7 linked regions of the Ovis aries genome follow. The protein of the gene in region 1 interacts with the protein of each later gene in a biochemical or structural test. Links are inferred from orthologs where the notes say so. Each region holds a gene or a part of one and is shown in the gene's direction. Other genes may lie near its edges. The genes, in order: ESR1, TRIM24, MTA1, AHR, PHB2, SRC and FLII.

What was found.
Region 2: the proteins of ESR1 (region 1) and TRIM24 form a complex in vitro, tested with the Homo sapiens proteins (4 studies listed by BioGRID). The link is inferred for Ovis aries from reciprocal best matches to the Homo sapiens genes ESR1 and TRIM24.
Region 3: the proteins of ESR1 (region 1) and MTA1 form a complex in vitro, tested with the Homo sapiens proteins (4 studies listed by BioGRID). The link is inferred for Ovis aries from reciprocal best matches to the Homo sapiens genes ESR1 and MTA1.
Region 4: the proteins of ESR1 (region 1) and AHR form a complex in vitro, tested with the Homo sapiens proteins (4 studies listed by BioGRID, with this or other methods). The link is inferred for Ovis aries from reciprocal best matches to the Homo sapiens genes ESR1 and AHR.
Region 5: the proteins of ESR1 (region 1) and PHB2 form a complex in vitro, tested with the Homo sapiens proteins (3 studies listed by BioGRID). The link is inferred for Ovis aries from reciprocal best matches to the Homo sapiens genes ESR1 and PHB2.
Region 6: the proteins of ESR1 (region 1) and SRC form a complex in vitro, tested with the Homo sapiens proteins (3 studies listed by BioGRID). The link is inferred for Ovis aries from reciprocal best matches to the Homo sapiens genes ESR1 and SRC.
Region 7: the proteins of ESR1 (region 1) and FLII form a complex in vitro, tested with the Homo sapiens proteins (2 studies listed by BioGRID). The link is inferred for Ovis aries from reciprocal best matches to the Homo sapiens genes ESR1 and FLII.

Annotation. Positions count from the first base shown.
Region 1 is NC_056061.1:76,603,930-76,607,429, forward strand, and holds part of ESR1 (estrogen receptor), read left to right. Parts: intron 1-214; exon of another isoform or gene 215-367; intron 368-843; 5' UTR 844-912; coding exon 913-1,367; intron 1,368-3,500.
Region 2 is NC_056057.1:103,687,324-103,690,823, forward strand, and holds part of TRIM24 (transcription intermediary factor 1-alpha), read left to right. Parts: intron 1-1,366; coding exon 1,367-1,484; intron 1,485-3,500. UniProt on the Homo sapiens protein: Transcriptional coactivator that interacts with numerous nuclear receptors and coactivators and modulates the transcription of target genes.
Region 3 is NC_056071.1:67,465,616-67,469,115, forward strand, and holds part of MTA1 (metastasis-associated protein MTA1), read left to right. Parts: intron 1-957; coding exon 958-1,075; intron 1,076-3,500. UniProt on the Homo sapiens protein: Transcriptional coregulator which can act as both a transcriptional corepressor and coactivator. Acts as a component of the histone deacetylase NuRD complex which participates in the remodeling of chromatin.
Region 4 is NC_056057.1:26,779,255-26,783,509, forward strand, and holds the start of AHR (aryl hydrocarbon receptor), read left to right. Parts: upstream 1-1,455; 5' UTR 1,456-2,067; coding exon 2,068-2,132; intron 2,133-4,255. UniProt on the Homo sapiens protein: Ligand-activated transcription factor that enables cells to adapt to changing conditions by sensing compounds from the environment, diet, microbiome and cellular metabolism, and which plays important roles in development, immunity and cancer.
Region 5 is NC_056056.1:209,334,061-209,338,295, forward strand, and holds the start of PHB2 (prohibitin-2), read left to right. Parts: upstream 1-1,435; 5' UTR 1,436-1,572; coding exon 1,573-1,699; intron 1,700-1,881; coding exon 1,882-1,966; intron 1,967-2,274; coding exon 2,275-2,354; intron 2,355-3,232; coding exon 3,233-3,417; intron 3,418-3,838; coding exon 3,839-3,968; intron 3,969-4,061; coding exon 4,062-4,165; intron 4,166-4,211; exon of another isoform or gene 4,212-4,235. Other genes in the region: EMG1 (ribosomal RNA small subunit methyltransferase NEP1), read right to left, coding at 1,020-1,187.
Region 6 is NC_056066.1:66,271,955-66,275,993, forward strand, and holds the start of SRC (proto-oncogene tyrosine-protein kinase Src), read left to right. Parts: upstream 1-1,239; 5' UTR 1,240-1,591; intron 1,592-4,039. UniProt on the Homo sapiens protein: Non-receptor protein tyrosine kinase which is activated following engagement of many different classes of cellular receptors including immune response receptors, integrins and other adhesion receptors, receptor protein tyrosine kinases, G protein-coupled receptors as well as cytokine receptors.
Region 7 is NC_056064.1:34,134,148-34,138,093, forward strand, and holds the start of FLII (protein flightless-1 homolog), read left to right. Parts: upstream 1-1,146; 5' UTR 1,147-1,174; coding exon 1,175-1,237; intron 1,238-1,443; exon of another isoform or gene 1,444-1,548; intron 1,549-2,747; coding exon 2,748-2,858; intron 2,859-3,208; coding exon of another isoform or gene 3,209-3,246; coding exon 3,247-3,318; intron 3,319-3,946. UniProt on the Homo sapiens protein: Is a regulator of actin polymerization, required for proper myofibril organization and regulation of the length of sarcomeric thin filaments. It also plays a role in the assembly of cardiomyocyte cell adhesion complexes.

The DNA of each region.
Region 1 (3,500 bases):
AGGCGGGCTGGGAAAATCTCGGAAGATCGCGGCTGGAGGCGACCACTTTGGGAGAATTTTTTAGACGAGGGAAACTGAGGTCAGGTAGCACTCTCCTGAAGGCAAAACTCGGCTCTTCCTATACGCACACCTTGAATCTCCGCCCCCTTTCCCCGGACGCCTGCGATCAGTCTCTGCAGCTGCTAAATATAGCTGTCTGCATCGGCAACCGCACACCCCACTCTATCTACCATATCTCGGTTACAGAGTGGTCCTCCCCAGGGTCATTCTATGTACACACTACGTATTTCCAGCCAACGAGGAGCGTGAATCAAACAGCACGGGAGACAAACAGAGATAGATTGGAGCCTGGCACGGGGCACATAAGGTAGCACGTTAGAGAAAGCTGGCCCCGGGATGAGTCTTCCGAGTTGGTTTGAAACCCGTCTTCTCCGGGCCACCTTTAGGAGATCCCTCGGCGCCCCCGCCCTCCTGCCGTGAAATCCAGCCTCTATCCAGCAGCGGCAAGTAAAGTAAAGTTCAGGGAAGCTGCTCTTTGGGATCTCTCCAAAACGAGTTGCGCGCCTGGAATGATGTTGAAGGCAACGTCAGGGGCAGGCAGCAGCCCCTGGCCGGGGGCCAGCACCTTTGTCATGCCTATGAGCTCGGGAGAGCTGTACTTAAAGTTGGAGACCCGAGCCCGCGAGTTGGCAGAGCGTGCTCGCGCAGGGCTGCACTTGCTCGCGTCCGGCGGCCGCCGCGCTCCTCGGGACGGGGCCGGCTCCCCGGGGCCCGGCCGGCGCTCGCGTCGCGGCGGGACATGCGCTGCGCCGCCTCTAACCGCGGGCTGTGCTCTTCTTCCAGGTGGCCGGCCGGCTGCTGAGCCCTCTGCCGCGGGGGGAGACGGTCTGCGCCGGCCCGCGGCCGCTCACCATGACCATGACCCTACACACCAAAGCGTCCGGCATGGCCCTGCTGCACCAGATCCAAGCCAACGAGCTGGAGCCCCTGAACCGCCCGCAGCTCAAGATCCCCCTGGAGCGGCCCCTGGGCGAGATGTACGTGGACAGCAGCAAGCCCGCCGTGTACAACTACCCCGAGGGCGCCGCGTACGACTTCAACGCCGCGGCCGCCGCCTCCGCGCCCGTCTACGGCCAGTCGGGCCTCCCCTACGGCCCCGGGTCCGAGGCGGCGGCGTTCGGCGCCAACGGCCTGGGGGCCTTCCCGCCGCTCAACAGCGTGTCTCCGAGCCCGCTGGTGCTGCTGCACCCGCCGCCGCAGCCCCTCTCGCCCTTCCTGCACCCGCACGGCCAACAGGTGCCCTATTACCTGGAGAACGAGCCGAGCGGCTATGCGGTGCGCGAAGCCGGCCCTCCCGCCTACTACAGGTAACCCGCGCCGCCCGCCGCGCCCCGTCGGGGTGGTCGCCGCGCGCGGGGCGGCGGGAGGGAGCGGGGGCGAGGGGCCGCGCGGCGCGGAGGGAGCGGGGCCCGCAGGCCGCGGGGCTGGGCGCCCGGCCGCAGCCGCAGCCCGAGCCGGGGCCGCGCGACCCGAGGGCTAGCGCGCCGCCCGGCCTGGGGTCACGGGTGCATCTCGTGTTCTCGAGAGTCAAGTTCTCTGGCCCAGCAGCTTAAAAAAAAATTTTTTTTTTTAATTTTAATTTTTTTTCCTTCTCCACCGCCCCCCCCCCCCGCCCCCATGTCTGCTTGATACGCAGATCTGAAACCCCGTGTGCTTCCTAACTAAACAAATATTGGAAAACCGTGCAAAGCAGAGGTTTTTTTAGTTGGGGAGGGGGACACCCCAGAGCCAACACACATAAGGTGCTTTGAGTCCCCAGAAAAGGTCCCGCTTTGGTACTTAAGGCTGGAGGTGTTTGGGACTCGCTGAGCTCAGTGTTATTTATTTATATTAGTAGTAGTATTTAACAATTTTGTTTTACTGTGCTTGCCAAATTTCCCTGCTCCTCGATTTTCGGGTTGGAAATATGCACGCTCTGATAATGATGAGGATGGTGGTGGCAAAGGTGATTTCCTCGGGGAGCGATTTCTGGCCCGTCTTTCTCCCCGTCCCACCTAGGAGGGCTGCGGGGCTGAAACGCGCCCCTCAGAAGACCCTAGAGTTGGATGGGTCTTAAGGAGTTTTCTGATTTCTGAGTTACCCGGACTGAGTCCGTGTCAGAGCCCAGTGCTGGCAGAAGACTTCTGACATCCCGAGATTTATGTGTCCTGTGAGTTTGAAACATGCCACATCGAAGCACGAGTGTTTTGAAATACTTTCCTTACAGCTAAGTTTCATTTCTGGCCTACGGGGCACAGAATGCCCCCGGGAGTGCCGTGCCCGAGTTCAGCCCGGTTCTGTGCTTTTCCTTCAGGGGAAGAAGCAGATGGTAGCTCAGGGCACACAGGGACGTTTTTCTGACTTAGAGGCAAATGTTTTGTGTCTTCTTCTTTTTTGTTGTTGTTGTTGTTTTTTTTTTTTTTTCTTTTTCATAGAGATGACACTTTCCTTCTCCCTTCTTGCTCTCATTTTCCCTTTGACAATTTCTCCCTTCTCTTCCTGATGGACTCCAAAAGGGCTTAGGCAGGGAGTCCTGGGGAATACCAGTGCTCTAGGTGCTGCTGGACAGGGGTGCCACGGAGTGGGTTTGAGAGACCTTAGGGCGCCCACGTGGCTGGGCGTTGAGTTAGGCACTGTCTCATTGTACACTGGTGTCTGGACCTGCCTTTCATCCTTAACCCAGACCCTTCTGTATTGCAAGCTGGGATGATTTTCCATTCAGTGTTCTATTTCCAGAGATATTTATAGTAGAAGCAGCAGGAGGAAGGTGCCAAGTGGCCCCAGAGAATTTGAAGGGGAGATCATGGGCTATCTGAGCACACTCCACATCCTTTAGCCTCTGAAAAGATTTTAGAACACCCCACAGCCAGGCAGGTCCAGCCTGAGTTATTCCATAGAAGACTCACTAGGATGAACAAACTTTCACAAGTTGGCGTCTGTCAAATTCATTTTACTTGTTTTAATTCAGGGTTAAAATGGGAAATGAAAAAGAATTTATTCTGCCTGCTTTTTTTTTTTCAAGTGTTAGAACAAAATCTAACGATTAAGTCTGATTCACACCTTTTAAACTCCTTGATGTGAAGGAAGGCATTGATATGATGTGAGTTCCATAACCTCGTGGTAGACTCCAGAAACTATTTTCTTTTCCATTTAATTTTCAGTTCTTTTATTGCAAATTAATGCCACTGAATTTCAATGGGCACTAATGAGACTGCTTCTCAGTGGATTATTTACTGCCTTGCCAGTAATTACAAAGTGAGCATGGTCAAATGAAGAGGGGATCACATTTTATTCAAAATTGTTCATCATCCCAGTGGCAAATACTATCCCTATAATATGCCCCATCTTAAACTTTTTGCGTTAGATAATATTCTGGTACTTTTGAAAAAAGAAAAAGGGAACTTTCAAAAATAATAAAGGTAAAAAACTCAGTACGTATGGGATTCCAGATGGAAATTCAT
Region 2 (3,500 bases), on another chromosome or scaffold:
TTTTGGAGACAAGAAAATAAAGTCTGCCACCATTTCCACTTTTTCGTCTTCTATTTGCCATGAAGTAATGGGACCAAATGCCATGATCATAGTTTTTTGAATGTTAAGTTTTAAGCCAGCTTTTTCACTCTTTCACCTTCATCAAGAGACTCTTTAGTTCCTCTTCACATTCTGCCATTAGAGTGGTATTATCTGCTTATCTGAGGTTGTTGATATTTTTCCTAGCAGTCTTGATTCAAACTTGTGATTCCTCCAGTCCAGCATTTCTCATGATGTACTCTGCATAGAAGTTAAATAAGCAGGGTGACAATATACAGCCTTGATATACTCCTTTCCCAATTTTGAACCAGTCAGTTGTTCCATGACTGGTTGGAACTATTGTTTCTTATCCTGCATACAGGTTTCTCAGGAGAAACGTAAGGTGGTCTGGTATTCCCATCGCCTTAAGAATTTTCCACAGTTCAAAGACTTTAGCAGAGTCAGTGAAGCAGCAGTAGATGTTATTTTTGAAATTCCCTTGCTTTTTTTATGATCCAGCAGATGTTGGCAATTTGACCTCTGTTTCCTCTGCCTTTTCTAAATCCAGCTTGTACATCTGGAAGTTCTCGGTTCATGTACTGTTGAAGTCTAGCTTGAAGGATTTTGAGCATTACCTTGCTAGCATGTGAAATGAGCACAGTTGTCTGGTAGTTTGAACATTCTTTGGCATTGCCTTTCTTTACAATTGGAAGGAAAACTGAGCTTTTCCAGTTCTGTGGCCCATCTAGGATTATGGCAGGAATAATATTGGAGATGGTGATTATGAGCCAAGAGCTGAACTCTTCAAAGACTGAGAGAATGACTGAGCATTCACTGAGGACTGCAGTGTGGAGGAGGGTGGGAGGTGGTGTGATGACTGAGATTCACAGCACAGGAGCAAGAAGGGCCATCCTACTAGCAGGCCTGGTCAAGGCTGCACTTAATGTCCTGAGCAGAGATTCATTTGTATTTTTTGTAATCCATTAGCCCCCTAATCTCTACTTTGAATCCTTCTTTGAAAGAGTAAAATAAAAGCAGTGTGTGAGTTTACTTTATAAATATGTGGTTGGTACATCTGTGAAACTTCTGTAATTCAGTGAACTAACTTTAACCTGTCACTTTAGGAAAGGTTTGTTTTGTGTTCAACAGTAAAACTAATTGTACTTAAACCTCTAACGCATTTTTGAAGAAAAACTGTGTTTGTCCACTTTTTATAACTTACTTATGAACACTTGTTTTGTGTTGGCATATATGTCATAGAGAGCATTTTTTATGTATTTGTTGGGAACTTGATAAATTATTTGCCTAATAAAGACTTGGATGCTCAGTTGTCTCTGCTTTCTTCTAGATTACGTACCGGTTACGGCACCTCCTTCGAGCAAGGTGTGATGCTTCCCCAGTGACCAACAATACCATCCAGTTTCACTGTGATCCTAGCTTCTGGGCTCAAAATATAATCAATTTAGGTAGGCTGTTATGTAGATTTTCTCAAAGTGCCATTTGTTTCTGGAACTCTTAATGATTATGAGATTGTTGAAAATGTATTCCCTTCTACCCCCTAAATATTTTTATTATCTTGTTTTAAAGAGATGGATTTTTCCTGGTATTTCATTAGTGTGTGTATATTTGTGACACATGCATGAATATAAACACACATATAAATATGTGGGTGATATGAAACATCCTTTTATTGACTCAGTGTCTAGATTTCTGGATTTAGGAGTTGTTTTTCTTCCTCAAGCAAGTTGTGCTGTTAGTGACATATTTATCAGAATAGTTGTTAAAACTCTTTACATGTGTCTGCCATTAATATAGTACTTTTTAGAATGTTTTCTGTTAAAACAGTATTTCTCATACAATTCTTGGCTTACTCACTCTTGAGACCCAGTTGTCAGGTACTAATGGCTCATTTATTTGCTTTTTCTTGGTAGGGAGGAATTCTCTCTGTGTGTTTTGTTTTTGTTTTTCCTTTTATGTAATAATTAAATAATTTTTAACCTCCTAATTGAAGTGTATCATGCATATAGATAACTGCCCAAATTTGAAGTACTAGAGTTATCAAAAAGGGGGAATTTCAGTATCATTTGGTAACATCACATATCCCTGCAGGCAGTCCTTGTTACATTATGTACTAGTAAAAAAAATCTTCAATTTTTGCCTCCTTTCTTAATTTCTCACAGGGAAATTATAGAAACAAAAATAAGAATTTCATATACATTCTTCATTAACCACCTTTTGGCAGTTTTGGGGCTTATTGACTTTGTTTCAAAATCATCAAATAGGGTTGCTCTCTCATTCTCTAAGCTAGATTCTGGGTAAGAAAGAACTGGCTGGAAGGAGAGCCAGTGCTCTCAGAACACTCCAAGAAGGGAAGAAATAGGCTTACATAAATCTCATCCATATGTGAGAACAGTAAGAATGGTAATGTGACCCTTTGAAGAAATGATAAGGTGACTCCTCAGCACAGTTTAGAAGTACGTATTTATTGATTGATAAACATAGCCAGCAGCTGGTATCATACATATTCTCATCTATATAACTAAAAAGAAGCATCTTAATACAAAGCATGTATATAACTATCTCTTACCCTACTCTACCCTCCACCACATATATAGCTATACAGAGAATCTATCACAGCTTTATATCCACAGTAACAGTCATGTTGACTTATATGTACTTATAAGCATATCACTTAAAACATAGTCCACATGATGTAGACATAGGTAAAATTAAGAAAATATGTAACTGTACGCACATAAGTGAATATAGTTTAGGTAAATCTGAATCAGCAAAAACAAAAACACCTCCTGTTTGTGAGGAATTTGTAAGACAGTATCCTTTACTGTAGGACTTTTCAGAGGTGTCATATATAGCTCTATAAATTGTCGTTTAAAGTGAGATTGACGTTTTAAATCTTCTAAGAAGGATACAACTTTCCCAAACTTGTTTATTTATGGCTTCTGAGAAACATGTTACAGAAGAGTGCAAGGGAAAAGTAGTGTCTTGGACGCATATTCAGTTTAGTGTCTTTGTGACTTTGGATAAGTTGTTTGGCCTCTCTGAACCTTAGATCCCTTATCTGTACGAAGGATTTTAACAATATACATAGATCTCCTATCATGGTACCTAATGTGGAGTAAGTATTTAATGAATGATAACCATATCTTTAAGGATGCATATGCTTAGTAAATCAGGAACTTTTAACTGAGTCTCTGCTATTGAAGAAATCAAGCTTTGCCCTACTCTTGGACCAGACCTGTGAGAGGTACCTTTAATCTCTTTTTTAACAGTGTAGTTATAAAGCATGGTGTTCGCCATCAGAGAACTAACACAATTTGCGCCATGAAGGTGTAAAGAACTAGCTGTTGTTGTCATTCAATTGCTACATCATAGAGAGATAACTGAGTCAGTAATACTCTGTGGTATTGTTCTCACATCCAGTGAGAACAGTCAGGTTTGCGTGTTTTGTTTTGATTATACAA
Region 3 (3,500 bases), on another chromosome or scaffold:
CCTGGTGTGCAGCCTCCCTGATGCCTGACTCGGGTTGGAGAACCGCCAGGCGAGAGCCTGGAGTCGGCGCAGAGGAACTGCTGGGGCAGCCCGGCCCCCCCGGGAGCCCCTGCCTGCGGGAGGCCTGGTGTGGCCTGGAAAGGTGGCGGGCAGAGCCAGGCCATGGCCCCAGACAGCTTCCCCTGGGGAGCGGACGCGTGGCCTGCAGTTGGGAAAGGACCCCCGGTGGCAGCCGCCCGAGCAGTGCCGTGGCGGCTGTGAGCAACCTCTGGAGGCACATGGGTCCTGCCGAAGCACCGCGTGTGCCTCTGGGGTGCACAGCGGGCGTCTTCTGCTGTTCTCCTTCACCCGTCTGGGGAAGGGGGTGCCTCCGAGGAGAGGGGGGTGGCCCAGGCGAGGGGCTGGCCGCACAGGCGCACAGCTGCAGCCCACGGGACCTACGCCCAGGAGCCCTTGGCCCTGATGCGGGGGCAGCCCCTGCCCGCTGCCACCTGGGGCTGAGGGCTGTGGGGGCACAGCCACAGTGGAGTCAGGGGCACAGCGGGGGCACGGGGCCAGGTAGACCCTGCGGGATACAGGGAGGCGCCAGGGGAAGCCCTGGGTGGCAGGCTTGCTCTCGAGAAGCGGCCCAGGCCGGCTCTATGCCGCTTCCTGGGGGCCAAGGACGGTGCCCACGGGCTGGGGGCAGCCAGCTCTGGGCGCCAGGCCCGGGACGTCCTGTCACGTGGCTGCTCTGTGTGTCTCCTGTGACAACTGCATGGGAGCCCTGCCGTCTCCTCCGAGGCCAAGCCCAGAGTCTGTCAGCTTTGTTCCCAGACGTCTTCGGGGTTTTGCTGCTGTTAAATGCCTCTGTAAACTAAGCTGCAGGCTTGCCGCTGACGGGCTCGAGGCGGCTCGTGGGCTGCCCGCGTGGCCGCGGCGCTGAGCGTGACAGCCCCGCCCCGCGCTGCTTTCCAGGACTTTTTCTTCTACTCCCTGGTCTACGACCCCCAGCAGAAGACCCTCCTGGCAGACAAGGGGGAGATCCGGGTGGGGAACCGGTACCAGGCGGACATCACCGACCTGCTGAAAGAAGGTGGGTGGGGGCGCGGCGGGCCCAGCACCCCAGCGCCTGTCGCTGGACCCTCCACGCTACCTGGAGACGTTGTTTCCTCTTAGCAGCTGTTTTCATAACTTTTTAAAAGCTCTTTCTCTGTTCAAAGAGCTCGTTTGAGTGATTGCTGGTATCACTGACTTCTGGTGGACGGTGCTGTCCACGAGGCCACCGTGCTCAGGGGACAAAGTGCCCGGCTCCCCTGCCCGCTCAGGCCTCCAGCGGCCCGGGGTCACGGGTGGGCCTGACCCCTTCCTGCAGCTCACTCTGTCCCCATGCACGCAGCACAGAGGAACTCGGGCCCCGATGACCCCCCAGGCCTTGCTTCCTGCAGGGGCCCCATGGTTGACAGCAGACCTGCCGTGAGTGGCCCTCGTCCCTCGGGTGGTGGCCTCGCCCAGGCACGTGGGGCTGACGCAGCGGGCCGCGGGGGTCCACGCTCGTGGGCGTCCTGTCCTCTCCCGTCCTGCTCGCGCGGCTCGGTGAGGCGGGTCTGGCAGCTGGACCGCACACGTGCTTAGCCTCGGGGCATTTGGGCACCTTGCTCTCTTTGGAGCCGGTGTCCCCGCAGAGCTGGCCCCGTGTGAGGTGCCCAGGCCGCCTGGGGTCCCCGGTCCCTCGTGGAGCGCGTGGCCGCTCTGCTCTCGTCCTCAGGCGGCCCTGGCGAGCATCTCCCGCATGGGTGGGGCGTGGGCCAGGCCTGGCTCCCCTCTGCTCTGCACCGCAGGCTCCTCTGTGCAGGAATCCCCAGAAGCCCCCTCTCCGCGGCTGCCGCGCCTCCCGACCCCCAGCTGCTCCGCTCACCCTGGGCCCTGCTCTTGGCCCGTGTGCACGTTTCCTGTAGCACACACGTGTGGCACACCTCACTCGGACCTCACTCACACGCTCACACCCGCCTCCGTGCCGGGGCCTCGGTCTCCATTTCGGGGCGCCTGCTTGTCTGCTGAGCCAGGCTCGTGGGAAGCGGGTGGTGGGGCGGCTCCCCCGTCCGCCCTGCGTGTCCAGCTCCGTCGCAGGCGGGCCTGGCCGCCCCTCCCTCCGGCCCCATGAGCACTCGCATCATCCTGGGGGCCCCCGCACTGCATCTCCCGCACAGACACCCCTCCGGGGTCAGGCGTCCTTGGGAGTCCCCGGGGCCCCTCAGGCCTGTGCTCCCGCGGGGTGGCTAAGGGTTCCTGGTGAGGCCTCAGGAGGACGCTGGTGGCTCAAGTGTCCAAAGAGCTCACGTTGCCCACCGCCTGGGTGCTCGGCGGGGTTGAGCCTCTGTTCTCAGGGGCCCTGGGCGAGCCCTGCTCACAGCCCAGGCTTTTCCCGCTCCTGACTCGGGGACCCTGGCGAAGGCCTCAGCCTGCTGTCTCCCCGTGCCTCCTGGGGCATGGACCCTGCCAGTGTGAACCTGTGCCCCGTCTGTGAGTGTGTGTGGCGGCCACAGAGTGTGCCGTGATGCTGCCCGCCCGCTGGCGTGGCACTGGGACGGGGGTGCCACTGCACCTGGGGCTCTGGGCCTGGCTGCCTGGCCACGTCACTGGGGCCTAGATCCAAGGGGAGGGTCCCTGGCTTCCCTGGGGAGGGTCTCAGTGCCATGTAGCTGCCAGGAGGGAGTGCACCATGCCCATCCTCCAGACGCCCCATTGCGTCCCACAGACCTGGCACCCCAGGCTCTCGGATCTCCGCGCCCCATCCCTGGATCAGCCCTGCATGTCTGCGGTGCCGGGCTTCCCTTCCATGGGCCCCTGGCCCAGCGCGCCCCTGTAGCCCGCCAGGGTGACCTCCCCAGGGCGAGGGGGCACGTGTCTCCCCAGTGACTTTCAGCCGTGCCGGCCCTACTGACCCATGCCCACCCCAGGCTCCATGGGCTTCCCGAGTGCACAGGGGTCCTGGGCCTGGAAGCGGGTTCCTGCCAAGAGTGACCGTGGCCGAGGGCGTCTGCAGGTGTTCAGCTCAGGCGCCCGAGTTGAGGGTGGGTGTGATGTGTCCTCCATGCCAGCCCAGCCACGCCGGGTGGGCATTCTGCAGACCCTCCTCGTGGCCCCATGCCCCCTGCTGATCAGAGCACACTGGCCCTTGGCACAGGTGCTGCCCAGGACAGAAGCGTCCATGGCTGGGCCCTGGGCTCCCCCGTGCCACCCACAGGCCGAGGGAGAAGCTGCCCTGAGACGAGGCCTCCGGCCTCAGGACCCCGGGTGGTGGGCGAGTGTCTGCTGAGCTGGCATCAGCGCACTGGTGGTGAGGGGCTGGCACGGGGGGCCGGGCGCGGTGGCACCCAGCCCTGCGGTGTCTTAGGGTAAAGAGCTCGACCGCTCAGATCCGGACTGCCCGCCCTTCCCCCCATGGCTGCGCTGCTGGTGCCGTCCCGGTGGTTCCTCCGACGCCCGGGGGCCCACACCCAGACCCCACTCCAGAGGCG
Region 4 (4,255 bases), on another chromosome or scaffold:
GAGTGAGTTGCCATTTCCTTCTTCAGGGGGTCTTCCCCACCCAGGAGTCGAACCCAGGTCTCCCTCCTTGCAGGCAGATTCTATACCAACTGAGCTAGGAGGGAAGCACGCCATATTTGGATAGGAATCTCAAATGATAAAGCATTTGAGTTGGGCATTTTTTGTGTTATTATTGAAGAATAACGTGGCAGAAGATGAATTAGGGATGTTGCAATACACAAAATTAAATAGTATTTGTTGGAATATTTAGATGTAAGTTGTAGAAGAGTTGAAGATATTTCATAGGGTTGATAGGATAATGGTTGAGTATATGACAGTGAGGTTTCAGCTAAAGAAAACAATGTTCAATTTATTGATGTTCTGAATGTGAGGTAACAAACTCACCGGATGGAAATGGCTTGATGACATTTTGAAATGTAGGAATGGACATGGTGCCAGATTTCATCTAGACTTCTTAGTCTGATTGCCCTTCTCCTGACAAGCAAAACACACTCCTGTGTTTACTTTTCTGGGTAAAGGCACAGGAGTAGTCAGAAATGTTGGAGGTACTTGAGATTGCTCTCTCTTGTTTGTCTATTTCCTTATTATCTGCTCTTTTTCCCCTCCATCCCACTGTCACTTCCCTGGACTTTCACCTGGACTACTTCAACAACTCTAACTACTCTCTCGGCATCCAGTCTTTTTCTCCTGTAATCCAGCTTGCACTGTCATTTAAAACTTCCAAAACACTAGAATGTCTCTTGCCTGCTGTGGATCATTCAAAGGTTTCCACTGACTGCAGAATAATATGTGGACTCTTGATCAGGCTTTATGATTTGACCCTAGATTCCTGGATTTCACTTCCAGCTTCTCTCTCTCCAGCTATACCAGACTGCTTATTCTCAAATGCCTCCTGCTGCCTGCCTTCCCACCTTCCTGAAATCTGACTGTAGTGTAACAGTTATTCTGCCTGGGGAAAAGATACTATACTGTCTTGTACGGAGACAAAAATCAAACTCAAAACAAAAAGACAAGAAAAATGCCTAGCCTTCAAGTTCAACTGAGATGTGGCCTCCTGAAGCCTTCTCCTCTAGGAAGATTTATAGTTCCACAGGTTATCTGCCAGCTCACTGTAATGCTTAGCCAAAAGTTGGCTGACTCACTGTCTCTTGCAAAGGTGAATTTAAGCTCACTACTTGGCATTTCTTTCCTTGAGGTTGTCTGATTACAAAGACTTTGGCTACACATAATTTGTCGTCACATGTCTTTATGGACTGGAAATGTGTCCACAGATTCCTCCCCTTGACCTCAAGAAGATGGCTACTGGAGAGGGTGGGGGTCATTACGCCTTACGTCATCACGTGCCGGGAGGGTGGGGCCCTCAAGGGAAATATAGCGGAGGGCGGGGCCAAGTAGGATGGGGCGGGGCTACGAGGGGCGGGGCGGGGCTGGAGAGGGGTCGGGGGCGCTTCTGCTATTCAGCCGGTGCAAGCAGCAGCGGGAGGCATCGCAGGGCGAGTCCACTTGACGCTAGGTTCTGAAAGCGTGACTGGGACCACCGGCTCAGACCAGAGGTAGCCGCATAGCCGAGCGGAAGCTGGTGGCACCCGTAGCAGCGGCCGGAGTCCGAGCTCCGCAGGCGGGAAGCACCCGGGATCGGGGAAATCCCGGGAGCAGCGCAGCGCGGCGGCGCCTCCCTCACCCAAGGGGCCGCAGCGACGGTCACGGGGCGCGCCGCCACAGCGAGCGACCCAGGCCGGGATTTCAAACAGACAGCCCAGGCTCCTCCTCCATTCGCGCCGCCTCACCTGCGGGCAGCGCGGCGCCGCCTCAGCTGGTACAGACGGCACCTGCGCCTCCAGCCTCCCCGGTCTCCGCCCCTCGCCCCTCGGCGCCAGGCCCGGGCCGCGCACCTGGACGTGCGGGGCTGCAGAAGCCCTGCGGCTCCTGGGGTGCTGTGTCTCCGCCATCGCCCCGGGAGGGCGCAGGTGGAGCAGCCGCGGTTAAGTGGAACCCCGTCCCAGTTGCCGCCGGGTCCCGGGGACAGGGCCGTCCGCGCCCGGGAGGAGCCGCAGCCAGCCAGGCACCATGAACAGCAGCAGCGCTAACATCACCTACGCCAGTCGTAAGCGGCGGAAGCCGGTGCAGAAAACGTGAGTCTCCGGAGCCTGTCCTCTGTGCTGTGGGGAGGTGGGCGCTCAGGCGCGGGACACTGCCGCACCCCGCCCCCAAATCCCCGAGGCCAGGGGATTAGGTCCCTTCCCTGTGCAGTCTGTGGAATCGAGATCTGGAGGCCGGTCGAGAACCCCAGGCCTTGGATTTTTCCGTGATTAATGATTGCATTTTAAAAATTGTGCCCCCCGTTCTCTGCCCCCCCCCCCGAACCCCTTCTCCAGAGCACCCTTTCACACCTCCAGCCATTTGCAGCGCTGTTCACTGTGCTGTGGTCCTAATTTGTTAACAGCTCTCCTCTGCCCTGTGGGGCTGGTGGATTAGTTAACCTAAGCCCGTCTTGAAATCCCCTTTCACATTTAATATCCTCCTCTGTTAGGTTAGAGGACGGTCACCATTCTTACTCCTGGTAGGGCGAGATGCTTTAAATAGCTAAACACGTGCTGTGTGCAAGAAAGGGGCTGAGTGCCTCTGAAGGTATTTTTTGGTTCCCTGAAACTGGCTTTCTGTTATACTCTTATTTACTTATTTGGCAGTAATTTTGTAGCGCTCAGCGTGAACATATCAATAAAATGTATAGAGGTGATAGCAGCTTTGAGTGAGTGTAGTAGCCAGGATACAGTAGAAGATTTGTATTTTAAGTCATCTTTTGGGGGAGATTTATCACTTTGGAAGTGGTTTTAGGGTCTGCAAATAATTTGGAGATGGAATTATTGAAACAGACATTTTCATTCTTAGCATCATTCTCTTAATTCCCTTTTCCCTCTACTTCAAAGTTTGGTCAATTCTGATAAAGTACAAACTTAGGTTTGTTTGTTTTGGTGGGATATTTATGTGATTATGGCAAATACTTTAATTTTTTTCAGAAAAAAAAAAGAAAAATCCATGCTTAACACAGATTTACTTTTTCGAGTTGGCAATGTTCATGTGTTTATTCCTAATTATTATCCTTGAGTTATTTTACTTCACATTTTTCAAACTTTCATAAACAATTTTAAGAACACTTTAAACGGTTACTCAGAACAAATCACAAGTGTGCATGTGGCTTAAGACTAAATTTAGGTCACTAATCCAAACCAGAAAAATAGCAGTTTAAAATTAATATTAAAGACCAGTTTAAAGGTTTCAGTATTCTGGGGTTTTAATTTCCTTTTAGAATTTCAGTGATTGCAGTCCTTCAGATTTAGACTTGGCATCAACAGAGGATATTCATCTATAAATAGACTGATTAAAATTTGGAAGACTTATCCTGCAGCGTGGTTGACATTAGGAATACTGTCAAGTCAGCAGTTTTTATCTTGGCAATTCTGTTGACATTGGTTTACAATACTTGTGTTTTATAGAATGGTTTCTTATAAAAAATGTGCTTGTCTAATTTGACTTGGTCCTTGATGGTTATTTAAAATTGAAAGGCATCACAGACACCTCTGTGTATTTTAGTTAATACAAAAGTACACTTGACATAATGTATAATATATATATGTATATCATAGGTTTTATTTGTATAGTTAGAAAACCTGAGAATTTTAAGTTATTGCATTTCAGGAAGTATGTTACACAGGACCTAGGTGACTTCAATGAAATGCTCTAATTTTTGTATTCATTTTAAAGTTTAACATTTGGGGCTTCTTGTTACCATTTTATTAAAGATTTTCCCTGTAAATATATTATTGCACATTTTCTTTTTTTTAAGGATGTACCTTTTATTATTAGCAATTAAATATGCTTTCTAAGACTTTAATATATTTGTGTTTAATATCTCCTGTAATACAACCAAAGTATTTCCACATTCACCCTTATTTTATCTAGTTAGCAGAGATGTTTATCAGATCTTTACTGAGCATCATGCATGGCTTCTAATCCTACAAACGCCTTAAAATGTCACTGCTCCATAAGAAAAGCCTAGTGCTGACATTTACAGAATCACGGGAAGTTGTTCATAAATTGTTTTTAACTGAATGAAAAATGATGAACTTAAAATGCAGTTAGAGTCCATTTTAAGAATGGAGCCATAAACCCAGTATTTTAATGTTTTTTAAGTTAAATTACTATAACTAATAGACACTCTAATATGTTGGTATATTGTCTGAAAAATTCATCTTGT
Region 5 (4,235 bases), on another chromosome or scaffold:
AAGATCATGGCATCTGGTCCCATCACTTCATGGCAAATAGATGGGGCAACAGTGGAAACAGCGACTGACTTTATTTTTCTGGGCTCCAAAATCACTGCAGATGATGACTGCAGCCATGAAATTAAAAGCAGCTTGCTCCTTGGAAAGAAAGTTATGACCAACCTAGACAGCATATTGAAAAGCAGAGACATTACTTTGTCAACAAAGGTCGGTCCAGTCAAGGCTATGGTTTTTCCAGTACTCATGTATGGATGTGAGAGGTGGACTATAAAGAAAGCTGAGCACCAAAGAATTGATGCTTTTGAACTGTGGTGTTGGAGAAGACTCCTGAGAGTCCCTTGGACTGCTAGGAGATCCAACCAGTCCATACTAAAGGAGATCAGTCCTGGGTGTTCATTGGAGGGACTGATGTTAAAGCTGAAACTCCAAAACTCTGGCCACCTGATGTGAAGAGCTGACTCATTGGAAAAGACCCTGATGCTGGGAAAGATTGAGGGCAGGAGGAGAAGGGGATGACAGAGGATGAGATGGTTGGATGACATCACCAACACAATGGACATGGGTTCGGGTGGACTCCATGAGTTGGTGATGGACAGGGAGGCCTGGCGTGCTGCGGTTCATTGGGTCGCAAAGAGTCGGACACGACTGAGCGACTGAACTGACTGACTGAGCTATAGTAATTACCTCTGCCCAGTAAACTTGTCTTGGGATGAACCGAGGAACGACACGAAGGACGAAACCTCTCCCCTAAGACGACTTTGGGGTTAGGATTATCACAGAATCCTGGTAAATCAATCGGAAGCAAGGATGTGAGCCGCACAGAGATTCAAGGGCAAAGAAAACGAGTACTACCAACTCAGGATGTTAAACGAAGAGGCAGTCGATTAGGCCACTCCTCCAAAAGCATGTTTCACCCGTCTCTGCTTTCTCCATCCATCACCCCCTGAGCCCACCACCCTCACCACACCGGATCCCATCCTATCGATCCACTAGCTCTCCATCTCCTAGTCCAAGTCTACCTTGACTGTCTCCAGACTGGCTCCTTCCAGCACCACAATGAGCCTACGGCCTCCGATCTTGCTACCCGCCCCAAGTCGGGGCCGCTTGGGCGCCACAGCATCCCAGTCCTCTTCCTGCTCCGCAGCCCGGCGCTCACGAGGTTGGAATGCACCACTGGGCGCAGCCATCTTGCATCCGTATCGGAAATTGTGTAACGTCCTTAAATTGGCCTCGAGCTCGCCCCAATCTCCAGCTTCCTTCCGTCTGCCATTTCGAAAGTGGGCGCTCGGAAATGGAGACAGCTCGAGGTCTACCGCTCGCGAAGCCTCTCTGGGAGGGCAGGGTTCCAGAAAGGGGCTGGACTTCCGGATGCATACTTCCTGTGCGTCCAGTTCCGGTCCGCCGTTGGCTGCGGGGAGGGTTTAGAAAGGAGCGCACTTCCGGTGCCCTTTCTCCCGCGAGCACCTGGGGCCCGGACCCTCGTGTGAAGGGTGCCATCCCTAAGCGGGAGCGAGGTAGAGACGGGCCGGCACCCCCTTCTTACCACTGGTGCCGCCGGCCTCAGGACCGAACATGGCCCAGAACTTGAAGGACTTAGCGGGCCGGCTGCCCTCCGGGCCGCGGGGCATGGGCACGGCGCTGAAGCTACTGCTGGGGGCCGGGGCCGTGGCCTACGGCATCCGCGAATCGGTGTTCACCGGTGAGCAACCTGCGCCCGCTCTCCGGACTCCCACCAACCTTCCCTGGACCCCTTCCCAGGACCCCTTCCCAGCCCCAGCCCCACCGAGGCCCCGCGCTCACCCAGCCCCTCACCCCGCCCCACCAGAAGCTGACACGTACTCTGAGCCCGGCCTGGACTGACTCCCACCCCTCTCCCTGCAGTGGAAGGAGGGCACAGAGCCATTTTCTTTAATCGGATCGGAGGCGTGCAGCAGGACACCATTCTGGCCGAGGGCCTTCACTTCAGGTAATGGCGGGCAGAACTGACTGACCCTGACCCATCACCCTTGAACGTCGACCCACCAGTACCTGTAGTAAGACTGACAGCGAGATTCAGCGCTGCCTTTTCCCCTTCTCACCCCATCTCCCCGAACAGTGGTGCTGCCCAAATCTCCAGCAGCACATACTGTTGTTTTCTGAAGGGAGAAGACAGTTTCTCCTTGACCGTGGTCATTAAGAGGAGGAGCAGGTCAAGAAACACGTGGTGAAGGAAAACACGGCAGAACTAGTGAAATCGCAGCTTCCTAACCCCTATCCCTGTTCCCTTCCCTCCAGGATCCCCTGGTTCCAGTACCCCATCATCTACGACATTCGGGCCAGACCCCGAAAAATTTCCTCCCCCACAGGCTCCAAAGGTAGGTCTGGGCACTGGGACATCCCTGACAGTAAACACGGGAGCCTGGTCAGAGACTGGGGAAGATCGTGGTGTCAGATCTCTTGGGCTTTGGCTTCCACTTCTGCAAACAAGGTGTAATAAAAGCACCTGCTCCAGGGATTAAAGCAGTATATTCTGGACATGCTGTGCATTTGCTCGTTTTCAAGTGTTCCTCCCCCTAGTGTAAACTCAATAAGAGCATTGTTTGTCTTTTGTCTTATTCACTACCTAGGTCAAAGCCTCGCTTTAAAACCTTTCTTTAACTGTTTGATTTATTAATCTACTGGTACATTCTGTTCTGGGGAAACTTGGTCTCACCTATTCCCTCCTACACCATTCACAGATGTGCCTTTGAGATTCCCCAGATCAACCTTACACAGACACAGACACACACACACACACACACACACACAATGAGGCAAGTAGCTCACCTGTAATGTACTTTTTTGCGTTATCTTCAGTGAAGGTTTCTTAAATTCCCAAAACCCTAGGCCTTAAGAGTAAAGTATCCACAAAACAGTCTTTGTTCTCCAGTCCTTACTGTCTAGTTCAGGAGACTGGCGATAACCATACAATGTAACAACTTACAGTGAAGCGTCAAAAATAAAAGAAAGCTTTTCTGGAGGAGAGGCCATGGGTAGAGGAGATTTGACCATGGACAAGTATGCACTTGGCCTGTGCTGAGTCACCTCTCATCAGCCTCCTTACTCTCCGCCCAAGGCCATTCTGGGCCACAGGGCATTGCCCTAGGTAGCCAGGGAAGCACGCACAGGAGAAAATGCCTAGGCAGGGCGGCTTTGCCGAGAGGCCAGGTGAGCCCCCGTAGCCTCGCCCAGCCACTGCTGACCTCTTTCTTAGACCTGCAGATGGTGAACATCTCCCTGCGGGTGCTGTCCCGACCCAATGCCATGGAGCTGCCCAGCATGTACCAGCGCCTGGGGCTGGACTACGAGGAGCGAGTGTTGCCGTCCATTGTCAACGAGGTGCTCAAGAGCGTGGTGGCCAAGTTCAACGCCTCCCAGCTGATCACCCAGCGGGCCCAGGTCTGATTCCAGCTCCCCTTCCCTCCCACAGCATCAGCATTTCCCTCCAAAGCCTCGTGGACGGGCTTTTAGGAAAGCCAGCCCATTAGGAAAGGACTGTAACCTGAGGTCCTATACACCCAAAAAGCCGTGCTGATGGCCAGTGTGGGGAACGAGGGCCAGGCCTGGTTAGTGTCAGGCAGGGAGGGAGAACCGTGGTCTAGACCCGCACACACGGTTTTGGAAAGAGTGGAGCTTAGGAGTCCGTGTGACCGAGGCCTCTCCAGCTTTGCAGGCTCAGTGAGGAAGTCGGAGAGCCTCAGTGTGCCCCTGCGGTGTTCTGGAGATCTGGGATTCCCATGGTCACGGCAGCACGCCTTCCTTTCAGTTCTCCGGCCCCCTCAATGCCCCTCTCCCGTCCGCCCCCGCCCCCGCCCCCCAGGTGTCCTTGCTGATCCGACGGGAGCTGACCGAGAGGGCCAAGGACTTCAGCCTCATCTTGGACGACGTAGCCATCACCGAGCTGAGCTTCAGCCGCGAGTACACGGCCGCTGTGGAAGCCAAACAAGTGGGTGAGTCAAGCGAGGGCGTCCGAGGAAGCAGGCAGGCGCGACGGTGTTCCCGGTGCCTCGCGTCCCCGTGACCCCGATTCTCTCCCGCCACAGCCCAGCAGGAGGCCCAGCGCGCACAGTTCCTGGTGGAGAAGGCAAAGCAGGAACAGCGGCAGAAGATCGTGCAGGCGGAGGGTGAGGCCGAGGCGGCGCGGATGATATCCTTCCACAGAAGCGCTCCCAGCGCGGCCCCTCCCCTGTAGGCTGGCTGATGAGACTTAAGGCGAA
Region 6 (4,039 bases), on another chromosome or scaffold:
CCAGGCTTCTACCATTTGACCTGGACTGGGCTTTACTTTCCCATCTGTGAAATGGGAAAACTTTCAGAGAAGGAAAACAGAGGCAGATGGTGGCATTTAAAGCTGGATTCAGGCCCACCTTCCCCTGTGCAGTAATCCCAGGAGGACCTGTGAAAAGCCAAAGGCAGGACTAGCACATGTGCTCAGTTGCGTTTGACTCTTTGCAATCCCATGAACTGAAACCTGCCACCAGGCTCCTCTGTTCGTGGAATTTTCCAGGCAAGAATACTGGAGTGGGTTGCCATTCCCTTCTCTAGGGGATCTTCCCGAGCCAGGGATCGAACCCACGTCTCCTGCCCTGGCAGGCAGGTTCTTTACCACTGACTATAATTGCCACTGAATACCTGCTTTGGCCCCTCCTAAGGGGCTTACTCAGAGAAGGCAATGGCACCCCACTCCAGTACTCTTGCCTGGAAAATCCCATGGGCGGAGGAGCCTGGTAGGCTGCAGCCCAAGGGGTCGCTAAGAGTCGGACACAACTGAGTGACTTCACTTTCACTTTTCCCTTTCATGCATTGGAGAAGGAAATGGCAACCCACTCCAGTGTTCTCGCCTGGAGAGTCCCAGTGATGGTGGTGGAGCCTGGTGGGCTGCCGTCTGTGGGGTCGCACAGAGTCGGACACGACTGAAGCAACCTAGCAGCAGCAGCAGCAAGGGGCTTACTGGAAGCCCTTTATAAGTTCCTTATCTGGAACTTATTGGCTTCTTAGTTACTTTTTTTTTTTCTTCTGATGCACTTTAAAATGAATGCATAGCTATTAAGATAAAAATGCTGCTCCTTACCACACTGTCCTGCCTGTCTCAGTCCCCAGTTTGGGAAATTCAGGTTAAGGCCAGGGTCCAAGACCTGGCTTTTGTCAGGTGAGTCCCTTCTCTGTGCCTCAGTTTCTTCATCTGTAAAATGGGGGTGATCATTGGCCTGCCCAGCCCACTTGGTTGGTAGGAATAGATCCTAAAGTTGACCTGAACAGCTTAGCATGGCACCGGGTAAGGAATGAGTTCTCCATCAGTGCTGCTGTTACTGATTATCAGTAATAATTTCATGAGAGGTAGACTTGGGGTCAGTTGGGTGGGTGGGTTGGGAGGAGTTGGGGAGGGTATTTTGGCTTGAGAGCTGATGGGTGGGTGCCCCATGGGAAGGGAGCACTCTCAGGGCGGGGTAGGGGGCGGGGCTTCCGTGGCCGGAGCCCCCGCCCTTCCATTCCCTGGCCGCCGGGACCCCGGGCGTGGGGAGGCCGCGCGCGGGACTCTCCCAGGTCACCGGCGGGGACCCGTCCCGGCACGCTTCCTTCTTCCTCCCCCTCCCGGCGGCCTGCCGGGCCCCTCCTCCCTGCTCGCGCGCTCCCTCCCTCCTCTTCCCCTCCCCGGGCCGCCGCCTCCTCCTCCTCCTCCGCCTCCCTTTCTCTCTCGATCTGTCTCTCCTGGCCCGGAATCCATTCCGGCCCGGGAGCCGGAGCGGCCAGGCCGCCGTGTGCCCGAACCCCTGGCCGTCCGGCGGTCCGTCCTCCAGTGCGTCTGTCTGCCCGGTGCGTCCGTCTGCCTGCCGGTCCAGGTGAGCGCCCCCCGCCCCTCCGCCGGCCCCGGCTCCCGGCCCGCGTGAGGGAGCCCCCCGCCCGGGGACCACCCTGGCGTCCGATCGCTGGGCCGCGGGGGCTCCTGCCCCCCTCCAAACCTCACCCCTCGAGCCAAGCGGCGATCCCGGGGCGCAGGGCGGGCGCACCGGGACTTGTCTGGCGCGGCCTTTTGTTGTGATGCCGCGGGGGGGGGGGAGGGGTTTGGTGGGGGGCGTAGGGGTCTTGTCCTCGCGAGGACCCCCCCCTCCCGCTCATGCTCCCTCTGCGGGCCCCCTGAGAGCAGCGAGCCGGGCCCGAGCCCCCAGGCCAGGTCTAGGCCAAATCTGAAATCTGAACCAGTCGGCGCCGCCTCTGGCCGCCGCTACCCAGCCTGGCGCCCCCAGCCCGGGATGGGAGGTGGAGAAGGGCCGGCAGGGTGGGCCTGGGGGGGCGCCGGGCAGGGGGTGCCGGGCCAGAACACCAGGATCTCCTTGTCCTCGTGGGGCCTTGGGTAGGGCCTGGTGCTGCCGGCCTGGAAAGGACTGGGCCAAACTGTGGTTGGTCCCAGCTGCCCACAGCCCCCAGCCTCCTCTCTGGGCAGGCCCTACCTCCGGTCTGCTCAGAAGTTGGCAAAAGTTTAAGATTTGGCCCCCAGGCCGGGTCCATCTGCCTGCCTGGGCTGGGGTTGGTGGTGGGTTTGAGTCCCAGTGGGGGCTCCGCTTTCCTGCCCTGCTGTGCTTCCTTGAGCAACTGCCTGCCCTCTCTGAGCTGGGGGCCCTTGTCAGGTCCAGCTGTGGGCCTGGCTGAGCCTACTGGGCTGGTGGAAGGACTGGGTGAACAGAAGGGGCTCACCTGTGGGGTAGCAGTTCAACCTCTGGGGCCTTCAGGCGGACTTGAGAGTCGGCAGAGCCTGTGGGGCCCTGGGTGAGGTGTCCCCGGCTTCAGGGACTCTGTCCAGTTGGGGCAGTGGTCTCTGGATCACCTGGGGTGACTCCAGGCCTGGCTTCAGTCAGCTGAGATCAGACTTGATTTTAAGAATGGAGCAGGCTGACGCTGTTGCTGACCCTCATCTTGGCTTTCTGGCTGGAGAGACAAGACCTCGGCTTCTGGTCACACTGGGCTACCTGGGCCAAAGGACCGCCCCTCTGAGTCTGCTTGTGTGCGGTGGGGATCCCCAGGGGAAACCTGTAGGCACTTCTGCAGGTAGGGCCTTGGCATGTAGTAGGTGTTCAATAAATGAGCATGGCACTGGATGAATGGCCTGAAAAAGATGGGCATGAGATGAGATGGCTGGCTCTTGTGGGGCTTATTCCAGAAGAGGGTGGATCGGTGTCCCCAAAGCCACCTCCTAACCCCTTGAGGAGGAACCAGCCTCAGTGCAGTCTTGCCACCCAGCACTTGAGACAACTCGCTTCTCCTTCTGGCCTCAGGTTTGTTCAGTATAAAATGGGCTTGTGAGAATGATAGCTGCTAACATCTATCGAGTACCTCCTAGGAGGTAGGGACTTTTGTGTATCCCCTTTTTGCTGGGGAAGAAACTGAGGCTCTGAGAGCGGAAGTGACTTGACCGAGCCACATAGTTTGAAGCTGGAATGAGAGCCTAGAGCTCAGAGTGCCCGGTCGGGCTGTCCTTGTTCCCTTCCCGTGATGGAGGAATGGGTGTTTCTCAGTATGGGACCAGGCACACGACAGTGTTGGAAGAGACTCGGATGAGTGATTGTGTGGATGCCACGAGGCCCTTTGGGTGAGGTGGTGTGCTGTGGTGATGTGGTCTTTCCACCCAAGGAAATGATTTACAGTGTGTCACCTCTCAGCTGACTGCCTGCCTAGGCCCTCCTGTGTGACTCCAGGGCCTTTGCTCCTGAGGGTTTCCCTGCCGGGAGTGCCCTCTCCTCTAAGAGCTGCTTGTCTGCTTTTGCTCTTTAAGGCTTCGTTTAAGGCCCACCTCTTCCAGGAAGGCCTCCCAGCTTTCTCCTCCTCTCCCCTAGCCTCTTCCCAGGCGTGAAGTATCCCCAGTGCATAGCCAGTTCCTGCTTTGGCTTCTACCCTGATTGTGACCTGACCTGGGAGTGGTGGGGTGGTGGGTGGGGGGAGGTTGTCTGGCTCCCTCAAACCCCAGGAGCCAGGAAGGAGACGGCTCAGTGGCCTGTGACCAACCACCCATTCCCTGAACCTCAACTGACCCCATTTTCCCAAACCTGCCGAGATACAAGCATCCATGGCCCTGTGTTGAGTACCTATGATGTTCTACGGGCTTTGATCTTGAGCTGAGCAGTGTGTGATGGGTTAGCAGTGGGAGCTGTAGGAGACCTTGGGAGGCTTCCAGGAGGTGGTGACAGGGGCGGGGGGCGGGGAGCAACATTTTCCTCAACAAAGAAGGGGACACAGTACTCTTTTCTTCCTTTCAGCTCAGACATGTCCCAGGGCCCCTGGGGGAGGCTCTGGGA
Region 7 (3,946 bases), on another chromosome or scaffold:
GGCCTGCAGCCCCGCACCCATCCCCCTTTCCCAAGCTAAAAATAGGAAAGACAGCGGAGGGGGTTGACCCAGCATGGCCCGGCGGCGGCTTCCTTCATCAGGACTGCCAACCGCCTCCAAACTGTAAAGCGCTCAAAGCCCCTGCCTGTCTGACCTGGGGCCCGCAGACCCTAACCAGGGAAGGGGAGAGGGAAAGGCCACGCCTCCCCTAGCCTCCTCCAAGCCCCGGCCGCGAGGACACCGAGGCCCGGGGAACGCCAGGATGGGCCCAAGAAGCGACCAGAACTCGGCTCGAGCCGGTTCTCTCCCGGCCGGAACCGCGCGGCCGATAGAGGCCACGCCCCGTGCCCCGGCCGTACCTGCGTCGCGGCTTCGGCGCCCCAGCCAGGGGACTCAGGGGGCCGCTCGGGCCGCGCCCCGGGGCCGCCTGGGAATGGAACGTGCAGGACCCGGGAGTCGAACGCCAAGGCCTGGGGCGGGCACGGGCCCCAGGCTCGCAGACGGACAGGCCCCGACTCCAATCAGAGCGCTCAAGGCCAGTGCCCACGTGCCGCCCTGAGGCGGCCTCGGCCAATGGCGGCCGAGCGCCCCTCGGGGCGTGGCTCCTCGGCAAGCTCCGCCTTAAAGGCGCAGGGCCACGCTCCAGGACTCGGCAGGTGGGAACGTGAGCTCCTTCCTGGCAAAGGAAGCATCCGGTGGGGCTCCTGGTCACTGTAGTCTGCGGCCGCCTCTCCCGTGAAGGGTATACTGGTCCTGTCACTTACTGGGACCGCTATGTGCCGGCCCAGGGAGGCCTCCCTCGAGGGGCAAGCGGGCACGTAACCGCGCACCCGGGCTGGCCTCCGACCCAGGACGCATAAGAGTGTGGGCACTGGCCCCGGAGCGTCTCCCGGAGGCTCGTGGCTCCGGACGAGGACCCGGGCGTCCTACTGCCACTGCCGCCCGAACCACCCAGGTCCCCGGCGTTGACCAGCTCAGGAACAGCCGGGGGCCGAGAAGGCCCTTTAGGGCACCGGGACACAGCGCTCCTCGAGGCCCCGCGCCCCAGGGCTGGCCCCGAGCGGCCCCGGGCTGAGAGGCGGGGCCGACGCGCTCCCCGCCCCGCCGGCTCCGCGGTCCCCGCCCCGAGCGCCGGGCCCCGCCCGCGGTCCTCTCCCCTCAGCCCAGCGCCGCCATGGAGGGCACCGGGGTGCTGCCGTTCGTGCGCGGCGTGGACCTCAGCGGCAACGACTTCAAGGTGAGCCTCTGGGCGACGGCCGGGACCCCCAGCCCGCCCCTCCGCTTCCTGCGCGCCCGGGACCGCGGACGGGCTTGCCCGGACCCCGCCCCGGCCCAACGTCCCAGGCCTCCGCCCGGCGCCCGCGAAGACAGCCCAGGCCGGGCGGGGCGGGCGGGCGCGCGTAGGGTCCCGGAGCTGCGCAGGGGCGCGCGGGGTCTGCTCACCGGCTGGGTCCTGGCGCCTGGCCCCAGCAGGCCGGCCGGGGGTCCCGGTCGGAGCTCGAGCTCGCGCCTCCCCAGCCCTCCCCGCCCCTGTGAGGTCACAGCCCAAGCCGGGCCCTGACTCATGGTTACGCCGCCGGCTCTGCGCTACCCGCACCCGCCACCCCCATCCTGTGTGGTCTTAGGCAAGTCACTTCCCCTCTCGGAGCCTCGTCTTCTCGTCTGGTGGAGAGGCTTACCTTGAAACCCCTGGAGGCGGGGATTAGTTGTGGAGGACGTGTTGGGCAGGTGGGCGAGGCCCTGGGTGCCATTTGTCTGAGCAGCTTCCGAACTGGCGGACCAGGGCGGCTGGGAACACCAGCCCAGCCTCGGGGCGGGACAGTGGTTCTTGAGAACTGAGAGTGAGGCCGGAGGGCTGGTGACCAGAGAGGAGGCCCTGAGAGATGGCCTGGTTCCAGGAGGGTCCTCAGGGTGGATGAGTGGGCTGACCCTGGCTGGCGTCAGTGGAGCATCAGCCTGGGTCTGCAGGGTCCAGTGGTCCAGGCAGTGGCTGGGGTCAGGGCAGAGGAGACAGGCCCTTTCTTCCTGTATTTACCCACACTTGCCACCGTGCACACTCCTCTGCCTCCATCCCCACCGTCCTCACCTGGAGTCCCCAAGTGTCCTCTTCAGTCTAGGAGAGTGAGTCACCAGCAGGGAATGTGGCCGTAGGGAGAAGGGGCACTAGCCCAGAGCACTGAAGGCATTAACCTCCCCAGGTTTCTGGCCACGGGGCTGGGGTCCTGAGGTGGGCATTTGAGTCTGGGGGACGAATGGGTGAGTGAACTAATGAATAAGCTATGCCTGTGTGGGAAAGGGTGGGGAGCTGGGGCCTCATGCAGGGGGTGGGTGGCAGGGCACAGGTGGGGCCTTGGCAGAGGCACAAAGTGCAGTTCAACAAATTGCACAGGCAGGGCCTGGATGCAAGGCAAAAACATTGAGTTGATCCGACCTCACAGCTGACTCTGGGGTGGCATCTAGAATAAGCCTTCCTGGGCCAAGAAGCCAGCAGGAGAGGCGGGGCTTAGGTCAGCAGCCATCCTAATCACCAGTGGGTTCTCAGGACGCTTTTGTCATCAGGGGGCTTTCATCAGCCCTATTCTACGGGTGAGAAAACTGAGACAGAGTGGCCAAGTGATGTGTCTGGGGTCACACACACAACTAGAAATGACTATTGCCCCCAAAGGCTCCCACAGACAGTGGGGGCCACAAGGTGGCAGAGCAAGGGTACCATGTCCCAGACCAGCCTCACTGTGACGTACCCGCAGGGTGGCTACTTCCCTGAGAACGTCAAGGCCATGACCAGCCTGCGATGGCTGAAGCTAAACCGCACCGGCCTTTGCTACCTGCCAGAGGAGTTGGCCTCCCTGCAGAAGCTGGTAAGAAGCTTTGGACAGGAAGGGGAGGGTCCAGGTGGATGGGGCTAGCCAGGTGGACAGAGCCTGTGCAGGACATTGCCTGTCACAAGCAGAACTGGTGGAGAGAGGATGAGCACCCTGTCCTGGGAGGTATGCAAGAAGACTAGGTGTGTGAAAGAAGAAAGGTGCAAGAGTGGACTGGACCTGGGTGGCCTAGGGTGCCTGGGTAGGGCAAGGCTGTGGTAGCAGATAGGGGCTCTGTGGGAAGATCCCTGGGTGGGGCAAGGCCCTGGTGGTGGATGGGGGCTCTGTGGGAGGGTCCTTGGACAGGGGAAGGCTGTGGTGCCAGTGGAGGCTCTGTGGACGCCCAGCCCACCCTGCTGAGCCTCTACACCCTGTGCCGGCCCAGGAACACCTGTCCGTGAGCCACAACAACCTAACCACGCTGCATGGGGAGCTGTCCAGCCTACCATCGCTGCGGGTGAGTGCTGCCCAAGACTGCAGAAGTCAAGGTGGGGACTGGGGGCAAGGCCAACCCCTCTGTCCACCCTGGTGTCAGGGGTTTGTGGGGAGAGAGCATGCAGTAATGACCTGAGTTGAGAAACACGTAGGAGAAAAGGTGAAAAAACCTAAGTCTGATCCATTTTGAACTGCTGTGATAGCTGATCCTGGCTGAGCAGCACTCCAGCTATTTCTCAAGGGTCTTTCATGTGATCCCAACCTCCACCAAGTTCACAGAGAGGACACTGACCAAGGGGGCAGGTCACTTGCCTGTGGTTTATCCCCAGTGATAAAGCTGGGGCAGGGCAGGGCAGGGGAGGTGGTCTGGATGGGTCATTCCCCCTGCTGTTCTCCATGGAACCTCCCATCCCAGATGTTCAGGCCATTCCAGTGGTCGTTCCCATTTAAGGTTGGAGCCCTGAGATGCGAAGGGCACACCTCTGGAGTCGGGTTAAAGCTGAGCTCTGCACTTTCCGAGATGGCCCTTCAGTGACCACCGTGAAGTGGCAAAGTGTCACCACACAGACATTGGGCAGAGAGGGAGCCGCAGTGGTGGCTCCTGTTTCTCCTTCTGTCAGTTGTGGCCATGGTGCCTTCCCCTGGTCTGT